3 linked regions of the Arabidopsis thaliana genome follow. The protein of the gene in region 1 interacts with the protein of each later gene in a pairwise test. Each region holds a gene or a part of one and is shown in the gene's direction. Other genes may lie near its edges.

What was found. Proteins that work in one complex are often made in the same cells at the same time.
Region 2: the proteins of AT4G12950 (region 1) and MLO4 interact in a protein complementation assay, tested with the Arabidopsis thaliana proteins (one large-scale study listed by BioGRID).
Region 3: the proteins of AT4G12950 (region 1) and AMT1;1 interact in a protein complementation assay, tested with the Arabidopsis thaliana proteins (one large-scale study listed by BioGRID).

Annotation. Positions count from the first base shown.
Region 1 is NC_003075.7:7,574,710-7,578,196, forward strand, and holds AT4G12950 (Fasciclin-like arabinogalactan family protein), read left to right. Parts: upstream 1-1,932; coding exon 1,933-2,463; downstream 2,464-3,487.
Region 2 is NC_003070.9:3,670,775-3,677,890, reverse strand, and holds MLO4 (Seven transmembrane MLO family protein), read left to right. Parts: upstream 1-1,757; 5' UTR 1,758-1,837; exon of another isoform or gene 1,838-1,932; 5' UTR 1,933-1,981; coding exon 1,982-2,107; intron 2,108-2,475; coding exon 2,476-2,533; intron 2,534-2,622; coding exon 2,623-2,843; intron 2,844-2,934; coding exon 2,935-3,051; intron 3,052-3,364; coding exon 3,365-3,425; intron 3,426-3,870; coding exon 3,871-3,962; intron 3,963-4,099; coding exon 4,100-4,174; intron 4,175-4,319; coding exon 4,320-4,405; intron 4,406-4,521; coding exon 4,522-4,571; intron 4,572-4,662; coding exon 4,663-4,703; intron 4,704-4,795; coding exon 4,796-4,969; intron 4,970-5,061; coding exon 5,062-5,097; intron 5,098-5,186; coding exon 5,187-5,254; coding exon of another isoform or gene 5,255-5,324; exon of another isoform or gene 5,325-5,330; coding exon 5,331-5,391; intron 5,392-5,500; coding exon 5,501-5,956; 3' UTR 5,957-6,135; downstream 6,136-7,116. Other genes in the region: AT1G11020 (RING/FYVE/PHD zinc finger superfamily protein), read right to left, coding at 35-158, 462-923; AT1G10990 (uncharacterized protein), read left to right, coding at 6,800-7,116.
Region 3 is NC_003075.7:7,856,168-7,860,899, forward strand, and holds AMT1;1 (ammonium transporter 1;1), read left to right. Parts: upstream 1-2,015; 5' UTR 2,016-2,052; coding exon 2,053-3,558; 3' UTR 3,559-3,751; downstream 3,752-4,732. Other genes in the region: AT4G13500 (uncharacterized protein), read right to left, coding at 820-964, 1,411-1,480, 1,545-1,707. UniProt on the Arabidopsis thaliana protein: High affinity ammonium transporter probably involved in ammonium uptake from the soil, long-distance transport to the shoots and re-uptake of apoplastic ammonium that derives from photorespiration in shoots.

The DNA of each region.
Region 1 (3,487 bases):
ATTTAAGTTTTTTTTATACTGAGAAGCTATTCTGAAAAAAATCATATTTCTTTTTTGTTTTGATGAAATGTGAAATTTATTGATGAAAGAATAATGAGATTATGTACAGCTGTAAGATGTATAGTTCATATGTTCTGCACAGGAGCAGAAAACCTATTGAAAAAAACAGAGTATAAGCTTTTAACTAGAAAGTCGTGTTAGCCGTAACAGAATAATTCAAGAAAGAAATACTGAGATAACCGAAACCAAAATACTAAACCGAACAAATAAAAAAACGAACTGAATCCCAACCAAAATTATAAAATATCTTAACCAATTTTTTCAAACCCAACCCGAATGGTGAACCAGATAACTTTTTAGGTTACTGTGTCATTGGGTTCAACCGGATTCGACCATAGATCAATTGATTAAAATTTATTTAATATTTTTAATACTTTTAGAAATTATATAGTATTATAAATATAAAAATAAAAAATAATCATACCATGTTTAACAAAATATGAAGTTTCACAATAAAAATAAAGTGATTAAAATTTTTAAATCCAACAAAAACCATAAAAAAAATACTTAGATAGTATGAGATTATCAACAAAAAAACTAATAAAACATTGCGAAAACAATATAACTAATCACCGTTGTTTCTCTCACCATTCCTAATATTTAATTCCAAAATATCAAAATCAAATGGATTTTGTTAAAACTCAAACCCGACTGATTCAGTGGATAGCATGTTAATGGTGAATTTTTTGTGTTTTTTTTTCTAGTTTTTAAACTGTTGGATGTTAACCCAAACTGGAAGTGTGTACAGGTCACAGGGTCAAACTAGACGGTTCGGGTCTAGCGTGAAAAAAATGGATTATAGAATCTTTAAACGAAACGAACGAAAAGGTAACCGAATGTGTACCCGAAATATCCAAAAACAAAAGGAGTATCCGAAACAATTCAAGAAGGTGTTTAAGACCTTAGTTCTGTTTAATTATGTCCTAATTATGTTATTTGGTTTGGAGAGCATTCTAGTACACGCTATCCTCTGTTTACGTACTTAGCTTTTACATGTTAATCTATACACCAATCAAGGCAGTCTCAGGATAAACAATCATTATCCTAAATAATTACGTATAGACTTTGCTTTGTTTTTTAGTTCGGTTAATATTTGTTTTTAAAATCGTTATAGTTAATTATGTAATATGTTTTAGGTGTTTTAAAGCAAAACAATTTCTTTTAAAACCCATAATTGGCTTTCATTATATTTTTCAGTCACAGTCTACTTTATTAAAGTAAAGTTTCTTCTAGTTAAGTTTATCTCTAATTAAAAGGTTAAGGGTAAAGGTTCTTTTAAACCAATGCTAAATCGTTTGGTGATTCTTAATATTATTATTTCTATTTAATAAATATTTTGTGCAGTTGAGTGAAACAAATTTTGTCATAAGGCATCGGTACCTGCTTTTTTCAAGAAAATGGGATGCTTTGACTAGTATGATATATAATTGTGTTTTATATATCAATCATGTTATATTTACTCTTGGTTAAGATTATTTTTTATTGTTAATGATATCATTGATACAATGATACTTAAGAAAAACTAAAAATGTTCCAAATGTATTCTATAACCAATTATCATTTGAGCTACATTGTTCTCTATCTAATCAAATCAAAATCATAATATTAAGCTATTATGGTATATAGGAAATATTTGAACTCAATCCTTTTTTTTTGTGCGGTTCAAGCTTCTAAAGAGGTCTCAAAATTTGTGTGCAGTCTTTCTTCACACTTTCACTCACCTTTTGTTCCTACACATAATTCTCTTTGCTTTTAATTATATAATACTAACTTGATACAACTAGCCATATCACAATTTCCTAACTCCCAAGAACAAAAGAAAACTCCTTTCTTCCATTCTTGGACTTTTCTCTCACTTTTGGTCTCTTGGATATGAATCTCCTACTATTTTTTCTTCTCTCCACCGTTTCAGTTTTCGCCGTTGTCTCTGGCACGGTGGAGGAGACGGCCCGTGATGTTATTGATGCATTGGCTCATGCCCCTTTTGAAGAATGGTCATCGGTTTTCATAGAAACCAATGACCGGATCCGCGCCGAGGTTATCCCATCTACCCTCTTCATCCCAAACTCTTCCGCCAACGGGAGCGATGATAGACATAAGTTGGCTTCATACCACATTGTTCCTCAGAGGCTTGAGTTTGCAGATCTTCTCTTGAAGCCAAGTAGATCGAGACTACCGACTCTTCTCAACGGCTCCTCCATTCTGGTAACCAACAATTCTGCTACTTCTTTTTCTATCGACGGCGTTCTCATCATCGAACTTGACATCTACGTGGATTCCTTCATAGCCATCCATCGTATTGCATATCCGCTTGATTACACAACTTACGGCGGCGGCTCTAAGCTTATATCGAAATGGCCGCTCTTCACCTTTATGCTTGTTACGGTTGTGTGGTTCATTTAATCATAGTGATATGAATAGATTGTGCTCATTTCACCTTATGATATATATATGAAAAGACTGAAGTCCCTAATCTATAATATGAAAGTCTTTTAAATGAACACTTAAACCTTTTTTTCTTGTACTCATGACTTGGTCATTTTTAGTAACGTACAACTTTTTATTTTTGTTTTTTAAACACGTAGACTGCATACATTGAGAGGTTTAACGATGAACATATATGCTCTCTTGTTTTTTACTCATTAAAATGCCGACTTCTCTATACACACAACACACGGAGATAGATACTTCTCATCATTTGAGTCATTATCAATATAAATAACTGAGACATCTTTCCAAAATTTACCACGACAATGAGAGGTTATCAACATATATATATATATATATATATATGAAAAGTAATATTCAAAAAAAGTAATAGATGAATCATGAATGGTCAACTAGATTTTGAGTCATTATTAATAGACGAAGAGATCTCTACAAAAAAAAACATTTACCATTCTATAATCACTAAACAAAATACCAGCTGAAATACAACAAATCTTATCGAAGACCACTACTAATCAATCTTACATATTCTATATTGTTAAATACTTTAACTATCTATTTCATTTTGCATCAATAAACAAAATTTTATGCTACACACTCACTTATGTTTAGGGCTGGGCATATGGGTCACCCATTCGGGATCGGGTTTAGTGGATATTGAATTTACTACCTAATAAGGTAATTCTAAGTATTCGGTTTCGGTTCGGGTCGAGTCTAATAGGGTTCATGTCGGTTTGGGTAAAGAGTTCGGAGATTTGCAAAACTACCATTTTTTACTACCCTTTTACAACAATATCCTTTTTTGTTGTCCATTTTTAAAAATACTCCTTCCTTGAACAGAATAACCAAATTACCCTCATCTAATAGAAACATGTAATTGGAAACTAAAATTTTCCCGCCATATTTTATTTTTTCCGCCAAAAAAAAAATTTCCACCAAACTTTTTTCCCGCCAAATTGTTTTTTTTGTAACAGTTTTT
Region 2 (7,116 bases), on another chromosome or scaffold:
GCAATAAAAGGGAGATGAAAGATTCAGTAAATACCAATGCAGTAATAAAACGGGATGGGATGTTTCGACAAAATACGATCCCAATCATCGTTGAAAGAGTTGCGAAACTCTCCGTCTTTGTCCATCATATATGCGAATCCGGCCATCACAGCGATAACCTAGAGTTTCAACAATCTTCTTATTATCAGACGTCAAAAAGATTCAGACAATCTCTATGAAAAACAAGCTTCAAAAATGGCAAGTCACAGTGAGCAAAATGAACAATTTGATAGTCATCAACTTCCATTGTCAATTTCAAGCACCCACCATGTGTACGCAGTAACCAGGTCAAGATTCGAATCTAGTTCACTTTGTGAGCCAGATTATGACATCATATAAAATTTATCCTCAGAATCTCTTAATAAATGCTTTATAATCCTCACGAAAACTATGAAGAGAAGCTGAGAGAGAGAGATACTCACAGTCTGCACAGCTAAGAAAACCAAAAGCACATCTCTTGCGACAAAGAGTCTGAATTTAGCTTTTCTACGCCACGAATTGTTATCCTCAAAGGGTTCGACTCTCAGATGAAACTGTGCTTTGCAAGTAGTACAGTGAGAGAAAGCAAAACCTTCTTTAACCGATCGCCAATGATCGAGACATGAGCGATGCACGAATTGTTGAGTGCCTTTACACATACAAGGTGAAATCAATTCATCGCCTAACAATTCACTATCGTCCTCCAAACAAATACGACAACAAGGAGCTGAAGAAGCATCGTTCTCTAAATCTTCTTCAGCCTTTATCTCATCGCTATTTCCTGCCACCACAGACGCAGCAGAAGGAGACGCCGAAGAAGAATTGGTGTGATCTCCTAACAAAGGAGCGGAATCACTTAGTTTCTGTGAATCCGGTGGCTGCAATTGTACTTCACCTTGCATCATTGATCCAAACCTTCGCTAACCCTAAATTTCAGACAAGAAATCTGTGGGTGGAAATCAATCGGTGTGATTAGAGGACTAATGATTCGAATCGAGTCAAATACATTAGCGTCTCTGTGTTCGTTGATCGGCTAGAGAATAATCGTGCGGGGATGTGAGAAGATTATTTACAGAAGTGGGAGAGAGGCAAAACATAAAACTGGAGAAGAAGGGTCAATGCGAGAGAGAAACGAAAGCTTCTTTATTTTGGGAATTGAAAATTACAGAGAAAAAGGGAAATGGGGTGAGAGAGGCTCGAACTCTCGACCTCAGGATCACTCAATAGCTATGAGACCTACGCGCTAGCCAACTGCGCCACCACCCCAATGTTGGGAATTTGTACACGTGTTAATTTATTATATCATATTCATTTATTCTCCTGGCAAAACAGTGACCGGTCCACCACAAATTGCCAAATCCTAGTATCATTAGTCAAAGCTTTGATGTACTCGTAAACTTCTAATATTAACCGCCATTTATCAGTAAAATCGGTTGAGTTGTTGCTGCTAGATTATGATTAGTAGATTGCTGCTATAAATTCGGTTTACAAAAATTGTATGAAATGGCGTAATTTTGGTTTTTGTATCTGATTATTGTTCATTTAATTCGGACAGTGATTGAATCTCTCTCCTAATTTCAATGATACGTAAACCGATTGAGATATCATCAACCCGGCTTTGTTATTATCGACTAATGGTTGTACCGGTCGGTAAAGTCCGGCTATTAAATTGCATTATTAAATTTAGGTTCTTTAACGACATTTAGGGGGAAGCACATGAATGCTGCAATAAATGAAAGAAGCAATTGAATAAAGAAAGAGAAGAGAGAAGACCGTTGGAGAAGACGAGGAAGCAACCATGTGCTTTGGTTTCTACTTGGTACAGCATTCCATGAGCTTTTTTCTTCTCTTTGACTAGTATATTTTATTGTAGAAAATTAAATGGAGGAAAAAGCTAAACTTTCTTAATCACAGATGCAGATTGATTCTCCATTTTTCTCGGGAGAAAAGTTCCTCGCCGGAGATGGAGCATATGATGAAAGAAGGAAGGTCTCTTGCAGAGACGCCGACTTACTCTGTTGCTTCGGTTGTTACTGTTTTGGTCTTTGTTTGCTTTCTCGTTGAACGCGCCATTTACAGATTTGGAAAGGTGTGTTTTTGTTTTGTATTTTTTCTTCGTGTGTGTGCCTACTATATGTTTGTTGAAATGCTCAGCTCAAAAGAATGAGTGTGAAGAACGTATTATGATTTTTTTTTTTTTTCTGCACACTTGCCACTTGGGTTAACTCTTGCTCTCCATGATTCATGAGCTGGAAATGTTTTATCTAATAATGGGTGCTAGAAAGTGAGAATTTTTATGGACGAGATGTTTCTTCTTGGAGATATGTGTTTATGCTTGCTAAATGTCAGTAGAAGTAGTGTTGATGTTTTCACTCTAAGAGAAGTCATTATTACAGGATGTGTCTTTCATGTTAGATATATATGAGGAGCTAATTTCATGTTCTGTTTTGTTTTCAGTGGTTAAAGAAGACTAGAAGAAAGGCACTTTTTACTTCACTTGAGAAAATGAAAGAGGGTATGTCAAATAAACCTGTGCTGATGTTGTGGTGCTTTATACTTTCTTTCTTTTTCGTTTGATTTTGACTTGTTAAACTTTCTTGGTAGAGTTGATGTTGCTGGGACTTATATCACTTCTGTTGTCACAAAGCGCGAGATGGATTTCAGAAATCTGTGTTAACTCTTCCCTTTTCAATAGTAAATTCTACATTTGCTCTGAAGAGGACTATGGAATCCATAAGAAAGTTCTTCTGGAACACACCTCTTCTACAAACCAGAGCTCCTTACCTCATCATGGAATACATGAAGCCTCTCATCAATGTGGTCATGTAAATATTTACTTTTTCTATCGACTTAAGAGCCTATTTTCCTTTTGACTTTTAATTATATTACTGAACTGGATGTTGGATCCAATGCCAGGGCCGTGAACCATTTGTGTCGTATGAGGGACTCGAGCAACTCCTAAGATTCTTATTCGTCCTGGGTATCACTCATGTTCTATACAGTGGCATTGCCATTGGTTTAGCCATGAGCAAGGTACACATCCTAGCTCCTAAATCTACATATGAGTGTTAAATTTGTATTCTTAAGTATTTCTATGTTGCTCCGAAAGGAAGAGATGTATTATACTTGCAATCAACTTTATCCTCATGTCTAGAGGATGTAGAGAACCTCATGATCAAATAATTAGTGGTCCTAAGTATATGTCAAATAGAAATTATCTTCAATCTGAAAATTGAGGGAAAACCTTCGATATTATCATTTATGTGCATAGAGTGTTAGTAAGATTAAGCAGACGAACATATCAATACCATCTGAAACAGTGTTGTCTTTTTATCACGTAACACAGATTTACAGTTGGAGAAAATGGGAAGCCCAAGCGATCATAATGGCTGAATCAGATATCCACGGTAAATGACAAGACTTTTCTGTCTCTCCTTCAAATTAAGGCTTGTATGTTTTTGATGGGTCTCATCTTGAGGGCACATGAGGAACTGTGTTATCTTAGGATTAAGAACAGCATGAAACTAGGATTCTGTTAAGTATTTAGGTTGTTCATTCATGAACTCACTTAAGCTGTGGAGAGGCTTTTATGCAGATTTGCAAATTTCGCTTCATCTTGACTAGCAGATCAAATCCAGTATAATCACTTATAAATACTGATATAGGAAAAATTCCTTTCTGTCCTAGTATAATCACTTATACAGGATTGAAATGAACTGTGTGGAAAAGAGATGTATCTCTGTAATTTTAGCTTTATCACAAACAGCTGATTCATTGTTAAAGATACTTAATGCCTAGGATGCTTTAGTTTCCAGTCATATATACCCTAGTCTTCTTGACTTTGTTCAACAGCAAAGAAGACCAAGGTGATGAAGCGTCAGTCTACATTTGTTTTCCATCATGCCTCTCATCCTTGGAGTAACAATCGTTTTCTCATTTGGATGGTAACTCCCCATGCTTTTACCTTAAGCTGTAATTTTTTAAAAATTTCATATCTCTAGTTAAGAACACTGTTATATTTTTCTCCAGAAGCTATTTTTACGGCATTTGTCCAGCAATAAAATATATGTTTGCATTGCAGCTTTGTTTCCTGCGGCAATTTAGAGGCTCCATACGAAAGTCTGACTACTTCGCACTTCGGTTAGGTTTCCTCACTGTGAGTAACTTTTTTATTTCGTTTCTCAGTCTTTCCTTCAAATTTAAAATATAACTTTCTAGTAATTTCTCAAGAATTCTCATCTAATCTGGTAGCTGACATGATTAGTTTTCTGAATCCGGTCTTCATTACTTTAAAATTTCAGAAACATAATTTGCCATTTACATACAACTTCCATATGTATATGGTACGGACGATGGAAGATGAGTTTCATGGCATTGTTGGAATTAGGTATGCGTTTCTGAGAATTGAGATCTTATCAAAGACTCTTTATTCAACTGTTTTCAGAAGATTTCGTAAGGGAGTTACAGAATGGGACTGATGAATGTTTCTTGATGAATCAACAGCTGGCCACTTTGGGTTTACGCTATAGTATGCATCTGCATAAATGTTCATGGTAACTTATCGGTTCAATAAATACAAACTACATTCCATTTCTATCTCCACATTAAAGCTTTGTCTTTACTAATTCAGTGATTTCCTTGCAGGCCTGAATATGTACTTTTGGATATCATTCGTTCCTGCCATTGTAAGTAAAAGCAAGATTAAGTAAAAAGCTTGAAATTCATAAGGCAGTACTAACACTCAGAGCATGTGTTTGTATCTGTTTTGTTGTCTAAGCTTGTCATGTTGGTTGGAACCAAACTTGAGCATGTTGTCTCCAAGCTTGCTCTCGAGGTTAAGGAGCAGCAGACAGGCACATCTAATGGGGCTCAAGTCAAACCACGTGATGGGCTCTTCTGGTTTGGGAAACCAGAAATTCTGCTACGGTTGATACAATTTATCATTTTTCAGGTAAGCAAAAAGACTTTTCCTTTCTCAATTCTTCAAGCCATGATATTACTCTATTCACACAGATGATCCTTATATATTTCCTGCTAATGCAGAATGCATTTGAAATGGCAACATTCATCTGGTTCTTGGTAAGGCCACCTTATAAAATGCATCAATACTTAAATCAGCTATGCAAAGTTTTTCAGTTTTTGAGAAGATCATCAATTTCATGTATCAGTGGGGAATCAAGGAAAGATCTTGCTTCATGAAGAACCATGTGATGATATCAAGCCGGCTAATTTCTGGGTGCGTTTCAAATACACAACAATTCGCAGCAACACACTGTCTCTTAAGATTTTTTTTTTCTTTCTGGTGAATGCAGGGTTCTCGTTCAGTTCTGGTGTAGTTATGGCACTGTGCCTCTCAATGTAATCGTTACTCAGGTTCGTCAAAACCTTTCATATATCTACAATTCCACAATCTTAAGCCTATCCAAGTCTGTGACTAAACATCGTTCATAAAAACTCTATGGTTTCACCTGAATCTGAACAGATGGGATCTCGGCATAAGAAAGCTGTGATAGCAGAGAGCGTAAGAGACTCACTTCACAGTTGGTGCAAGAGAGTGAAAGAGAGGTCTAAGCACACGAGATCAGTGTGTTCCCTTGACACAGCAACAATAGACGAGAGAGACGAGATGACAGTGGGGACATTGTCTAGGAGCTCATCGATGACTTCACTGAATCAGATTACCATAAACTCCATAGACCAAGCAGAGTCTATATTCGGAGCAGCAGCTTCATCCAGCAGTCCTCAAGATGGATACACGTCGAGGGTGGAAGAATATCTGTCTGAAACATACAATAACATCGGTTCGATACCGCCTTTAAACGATGAGATTGAGATTGAGATTGAAGGTGAAGAAGATAATGGAGGGAGAGGAAGTGGGAGTGATGAGAATAACGGTGATGCTGGAGAAACACTTCTTGAGTTGTTTAGGAGGACTTGATCTTGTTTCTGCTTTTAGAAGCTTGGTTCAGTTGTAATTACTTGACATCCATACAAGAATAACAATTAACAAAGTAAATCTTTTGTTGGTCCAGTAAAAAAAAGTATTCAATGATCAAAGTACATCTTTTGTTGGTTCAGAGGTAAATTTAAAATATAATAGCATGGATTGGAACGAGATATTATGGCATTAGGAAACTTTTTGATTATGGCAGTATAAACAAAGACCACAAATTATGGCAGCTATACATATATTGATTTCAAAACAGAGATAAAGACTTGTCACCTGTCATTTGATTATTTATGAATTTACCTCTGCAGCATTTTCCTTCTTCTGTGCAGTCACGCCTACCGATGGATTTGATTAATTTCCTGTCGATTATTACTAAGTTGTATTTCTAGTAAATACAACTTAAAAGTAGTTTTGTACTCGGTCTTAAAACTAGTTTTGTACATAGTTTTTGAGTAAGATACTTTGTTTTTTTTGGGACAAAGAGTAAGTTAGTAATATCAAATTTTATCATAGTGATTGTTAATTTATGTCAACTACGAAATTAAGAAGTTATCAAATCTGATTTGAGTTATGATAACAATGTCATTGATAGACTCGGTCAATTATGGCATTAAGAAAATCTAAGGATTTAAGTAACCAGGTATCAATTATTACCGCCGTTGGTATTGACTTTTAAATAAGACTTGCCAGTTGTCACACACATGTCATAAACAATTGTTTTTTTCTTCTTCTTTTCATTCAAATGATAAAATTAAACTTGCACTATACAGTTTCTATAGAATCATCCATCACTAGATCTGGTCTGGCGATCCCCAAAAGATCAAGTCAAAAATGAATAACAGAGAAATGAAACATGGTAAAAAAAAAGACGAGAAGATGCCGGTTTTAGTGATGCCAGGTTTCATAGCCGGAGCAACATTTCTGGTTATTTGGATCATACGACGTGAGTTCCTTTTATCTTACTTTTGGTGTAACATAGATTTCCTTGCTTCTGTTTATCTTTTGAATAATCCATATATAGGCTATAGAAAGGGCTCCACCAAAACTAACTCGCCGCCACCATCCGCGCTTCCAAAGGCTCGAGAATGTGGTCCTGTGGCGTCCACTAAACCTAACTTAACACCTGCGCCGCCGCTAGGTCAGCCACG
Region 3 (4,732 bases), 280 kb from region 1:
GTGGATATTATGCTCACTCTCAATTAGTCAATTAAGATATACCAACAACAACCTGGTTGAGATATCACAGAAATTATCAATTAATATCTTATAAATGAATTCGAAATATGCTAAATGCAAACATAGTTTTGTAAGTACGTAATTTATAATATATTAATACTCAAATCTAAGACTTACTTTTGAAAACAAAAGAATATCTTGTCAAATTGACACTTTTTAATGTTCAAAAGAGATAGTAAGAAATTTCGCCTAACCAAGAAAACAATAAAAACAAGGAATTTCAGTCTCAATACTATATATATTTTTCTGTTATTCACTTATATATTTGGATGTGATAGAATACTTTTTTAAGAACACACATATCTTATCTTCACCGATATATTAGCTGATACATTTTTTACATTCCTTTTTATTATTATTATTCTTATTTATTTTCTATTCACATGTACTTACAAACAAAAACTTAAAGACTTTGCAATTTGCGTTACGAATATTTTTCGTCAGGCTGTAATTTGAAAAGTCTTCTAGATGATTTCAAGTCTCTGCTTAATGTGCCAACTAGGCTCTATGTCACTACTTTGTGTTGTCTCTAATTCTCATTCTTCTTGACAAGACCAAACATATCACTAATGATGAAGAGATGACTAATATTTGTTTATACATTTGCTTGTAATGAAGACATGTAGTATAGCAAAGCACCATATAATATAGTGATAGCATTCTATTAATTTGTTCTTTTTTACAGCCGAAGAAGAAGAGTATAAGAAACATGTTTAAGATTCAGCCTTAAACAAGTGAAGAAAAAACAAAAAGAAAGGCTCAACGAATGGGAACTTTGATCCAACCATTGGCAAAAGCAATGGCTAAGATGACGAATGGAGTTGACATACCGAATATGATAATGTAAGGAAGAGGCGTCTTCATCGGATTCTCTCCTTCTCTTTCTCCAACGCTTTGCCAATACCTACAAAATTCCAATGCAATCCTCATCCATAACCATTTCTTCAATCACAATTGCATGTTTATGAAAAATGAACATGCAAGAATTTAAGTTCTTTTTCTATTTTAAAAGAGTTTAGTTCTTTTGACTAAACTACAACCCAAATATTTTTATTCTTTTGCTAACACGGATTTGAGTCTGGATATTGATACAATACTAACACAATGTCACAAACCACCAGTCTACATGTCATTGACACATACAAAAAAAAAAACTACTTAAATTCTGCAATGGAGACTAAAATTTTTGTATTAAATTGGTAACCTACATATCGTTTTGTAATTTTCCATGTTTTCATCAATTTCCTAGGTTTGTTTTTCTGTGATTTTGCAAAATTACATTACCATTCTATGAGTTTCTGTTATTTTCTACAATCTCATGATGAAAATTGAGAATTAAGATTAACTTACTGTTCAGGTTCTTCCTCTTTGGTTATAAACTTTTTCTTATCTTTAGGCTTCACTTCTCCATCTCCTCCACCTTATGCAATAACCAAAGATTAACAAAATTTACATCTACAAACAAATAAAAGATATAAGAGTACCTAATTTGGCATGAAGCTTGAATTCTGGGAATCCTAATGGTGATGGTGGACAAAAGAATTGAGGTAAAGCAAGCAATGATGAATATGAAGAAGATGATGAAGTTGAGGAATCACTAGCCCTGTGGCTAAACGAAGAAGAAGAAATTCGAAATTTCGCTGCCATTTCCAACAACTATATGGATGTGATAGAATATTTTTACATTTTATTTTTCTGTTATTCACTTATACATTTGGATGTGATAGAATATTTTTTTCTGAACACACAGATCTTATCTTCACCGATATATTAGCTGAAGCCTGATACATTTACATTCCTTATTTATTTTTTATTCACATGTATGTACTAATAAACAAAACTTAAAGACTTTGTATTATGCGTTACGAATATTTTTCGTCAGGATTGAAAAGTCAACCCTAGGCCTTTAGCTTCCTTCTTTTATATAAACAGAGAAACAAAACACTTTCTTTCTCAGCCTCTCTGTTTCATCTTCTTCTCTAAACTCTCAACATGTCTTGCTCGGCCACCGATCTCGCTGTCCTGTTGGGTCCTAATGCCACGGCGGCGGCCAACTACATCTGTGGCCAGTTAGGCGACGTCAACAACAAATTTATCGACACCGCTTTCGCTATAGACAACACTTACCTTCTCTTCTCCGCCTACCTTGTCTTCTCTATGCAGCTTGGCTTCGCTATGCTCTGTGCCGGTTCCGTGAGAGCCAAGAATACTATGAACATCATGCTTACCAACGTCCTTGACGCTGCAGCCGGTGGTCTCTTCTATTATCTGTTTGGCTACGCCTTTGCCTTTGGATCTCCGTCCAATGGTTTCATCGGTAAACACTACTTTGGTCTCAAAGACATCCCCACGGCCTCTGCTGACTACTCCAACTTTCTCTACCAATGGGCCTTTGCAATCGCTGCGGCTGGAATCACAAGTGGCTCGATCGCTGAACGGACACAGTTCGTGGCTTACCTAATCTATTCCTCTTTCTTAACCGGGTTTGTTTACCCGGTCGTCTCTCACTGGTTCTGGTCAGTTGATGGATGGGCCAGCCCGTTCCGTACCGATGGAGATTTGCTTTTCAGCACCGGAGCGATAGATTTCGCTGGGTCCGGTGTTGTTCATATGGTCGGAGGTATCGCTGGACTCTGGGGTGCGCTCATCGAAGGTCCACGACTTGGCCGGTTCGATAACGGAGGCCGTGCCATCGCTCTTCGTGGCCACTCGGCGTCACTTGTTGTCCTTGGAACATTCCTCCTCTGGTTTGGATGGTACGGATTTAACCCCGGTTCCTTCAACAAGATCCTAGTCACGTACGAGACAGGCACATACAACGGCCAGTGGAGCGCGGTCGGACGGACAGCTGTCACAACAACGTTAGCTGGCTGCACCGCGGCGCTGACAACCCTATTTGGGAAACGTCTACTCTCGGGACATTGGAACGTCACTGATGTATGCAACGGCCTCCTCGGAGGGTTTGCAGCCATAACTGGTGGCTGCTCTGTCGTTGAGCCATGGGCTGCGATCATCTGCGGGTTCGTGGCGGCCCTAGTCCTCCTCGGATGCAACAAGCTCGCTGAGAAGCTCAAATACGACGACCCTCTTGAGGCAGCACAACTACACGGTGGTTGCGGTGCGTGGGGACTAATATTCACGGCTCTCTTCGCTCAAGAAAAGTACTTGAACCAGATTTACGGCAACAAACCCGGAAGGCCACACGGTTTGTTTATGGGCGGTGGAGGAAAACTACTTGGAGCTCAGCTGATTCAGATCATTGTGATCACGGGTTGGGTAAGTGCGACCATGGGGACACTTTTCTTCATCCTCAAGAAAATGAAATTGTTGCGGATATCGTCCGAGGATGAGATGGCCGGTATGGATATGACCAGGCACGGTGGTTTTGCTTATATGTACTTTGATGATGATGAGTCTCACAAAGCCATTCAGCTTAGGAGAGTTGAGCCACGATCTCCTTCTCCTTCTGGTGCTAATACTACACCTACTCCGGTTTGATTTGGATTTTTACTTTTATTCTCTATTTTCTAGAGTATTATTTTAAATGATGTTTTGTGATACTTAAATATTGTTTTGGATATTTTTTTGCATTTCAGTAATGTTTTAGATGTACAGTTTCATGGGGTTGTGATGATAATATCTATGTGGTCATTTGTGTTCTCTTTGGAGTTTTTTCTATAACGCTTTTTTCAAATTTTATGATCATTATTTGCTGCATTCTAGATAAGCAATTAGGAATGTGAAGCATGGACTAAGTAAAAGCCTGACCGTTTTTAAGTTTGGACTTTTGATATAGCTCATACTTTTTTGATATTAGTTCATACTTATTGCTTTAAATAGCTAAAAAGTCTAAAACAAACCTTGCATTGACGCAATAGATATAAATAACTCGAAGTATTGCTTTCTAGAAGCATTAACAATTTGGTAAAACGAAGTTGAACCATTTACTCAAGCATAATAATCAGAAATGACAATCTTTCATGTCTGATGCAAATAAATAATAATTTATGGAAATAATTTCTATGTCTTACATCACTAATTAGACTTTTAGATGCTTGCAAGTTTGAAGTTTCAGCAGAAGTAGGTGCTTTTACAAACTCTTTTTTGTTTTAATTTGATAAAGTGTGTTTTTACAAACTCTGTTTTATTTTATTTTGAAAAAGTGTGTTTTTACAAACTTTCAACCAACCTATTCACGAATCTCTAATTTCATTTGTCCACCACATGAAATAATGTGTTTATTATATTAGTGTTATTTAAACTCAACGATTTTGGAGATTCGTACGTACCTTGTTGCCGCAACTAAAGATTCGGAGTATCACAGTTATTATATTAACAAATGGATTCACAAAGTAGATCGCGAATTACTTGAAAGTTGGAACTCGTGATAATGTTGTCGATACCACTAAATGGCAACTTCGTACATATGTAAAAAAAGTCAGGGTATTTGGGTGCTTTTCAAAAAGATGGAAGCATGACATGAGTGATGAGGCAGCTCCTACAAGTTGGAAAGAAGATATTTTGTCTTTACCTCCAAATTAAAAAATTGGCATTTTTAAATATCAAAAGGTGAAGAAGCCAATCAATTAGTATATTTATTTGTATTTTTTTTTTTTTTTCAATCTCTTTTACAAGTTTTAAGGAACTTAATGGCCAGCACTTTGATTTGATA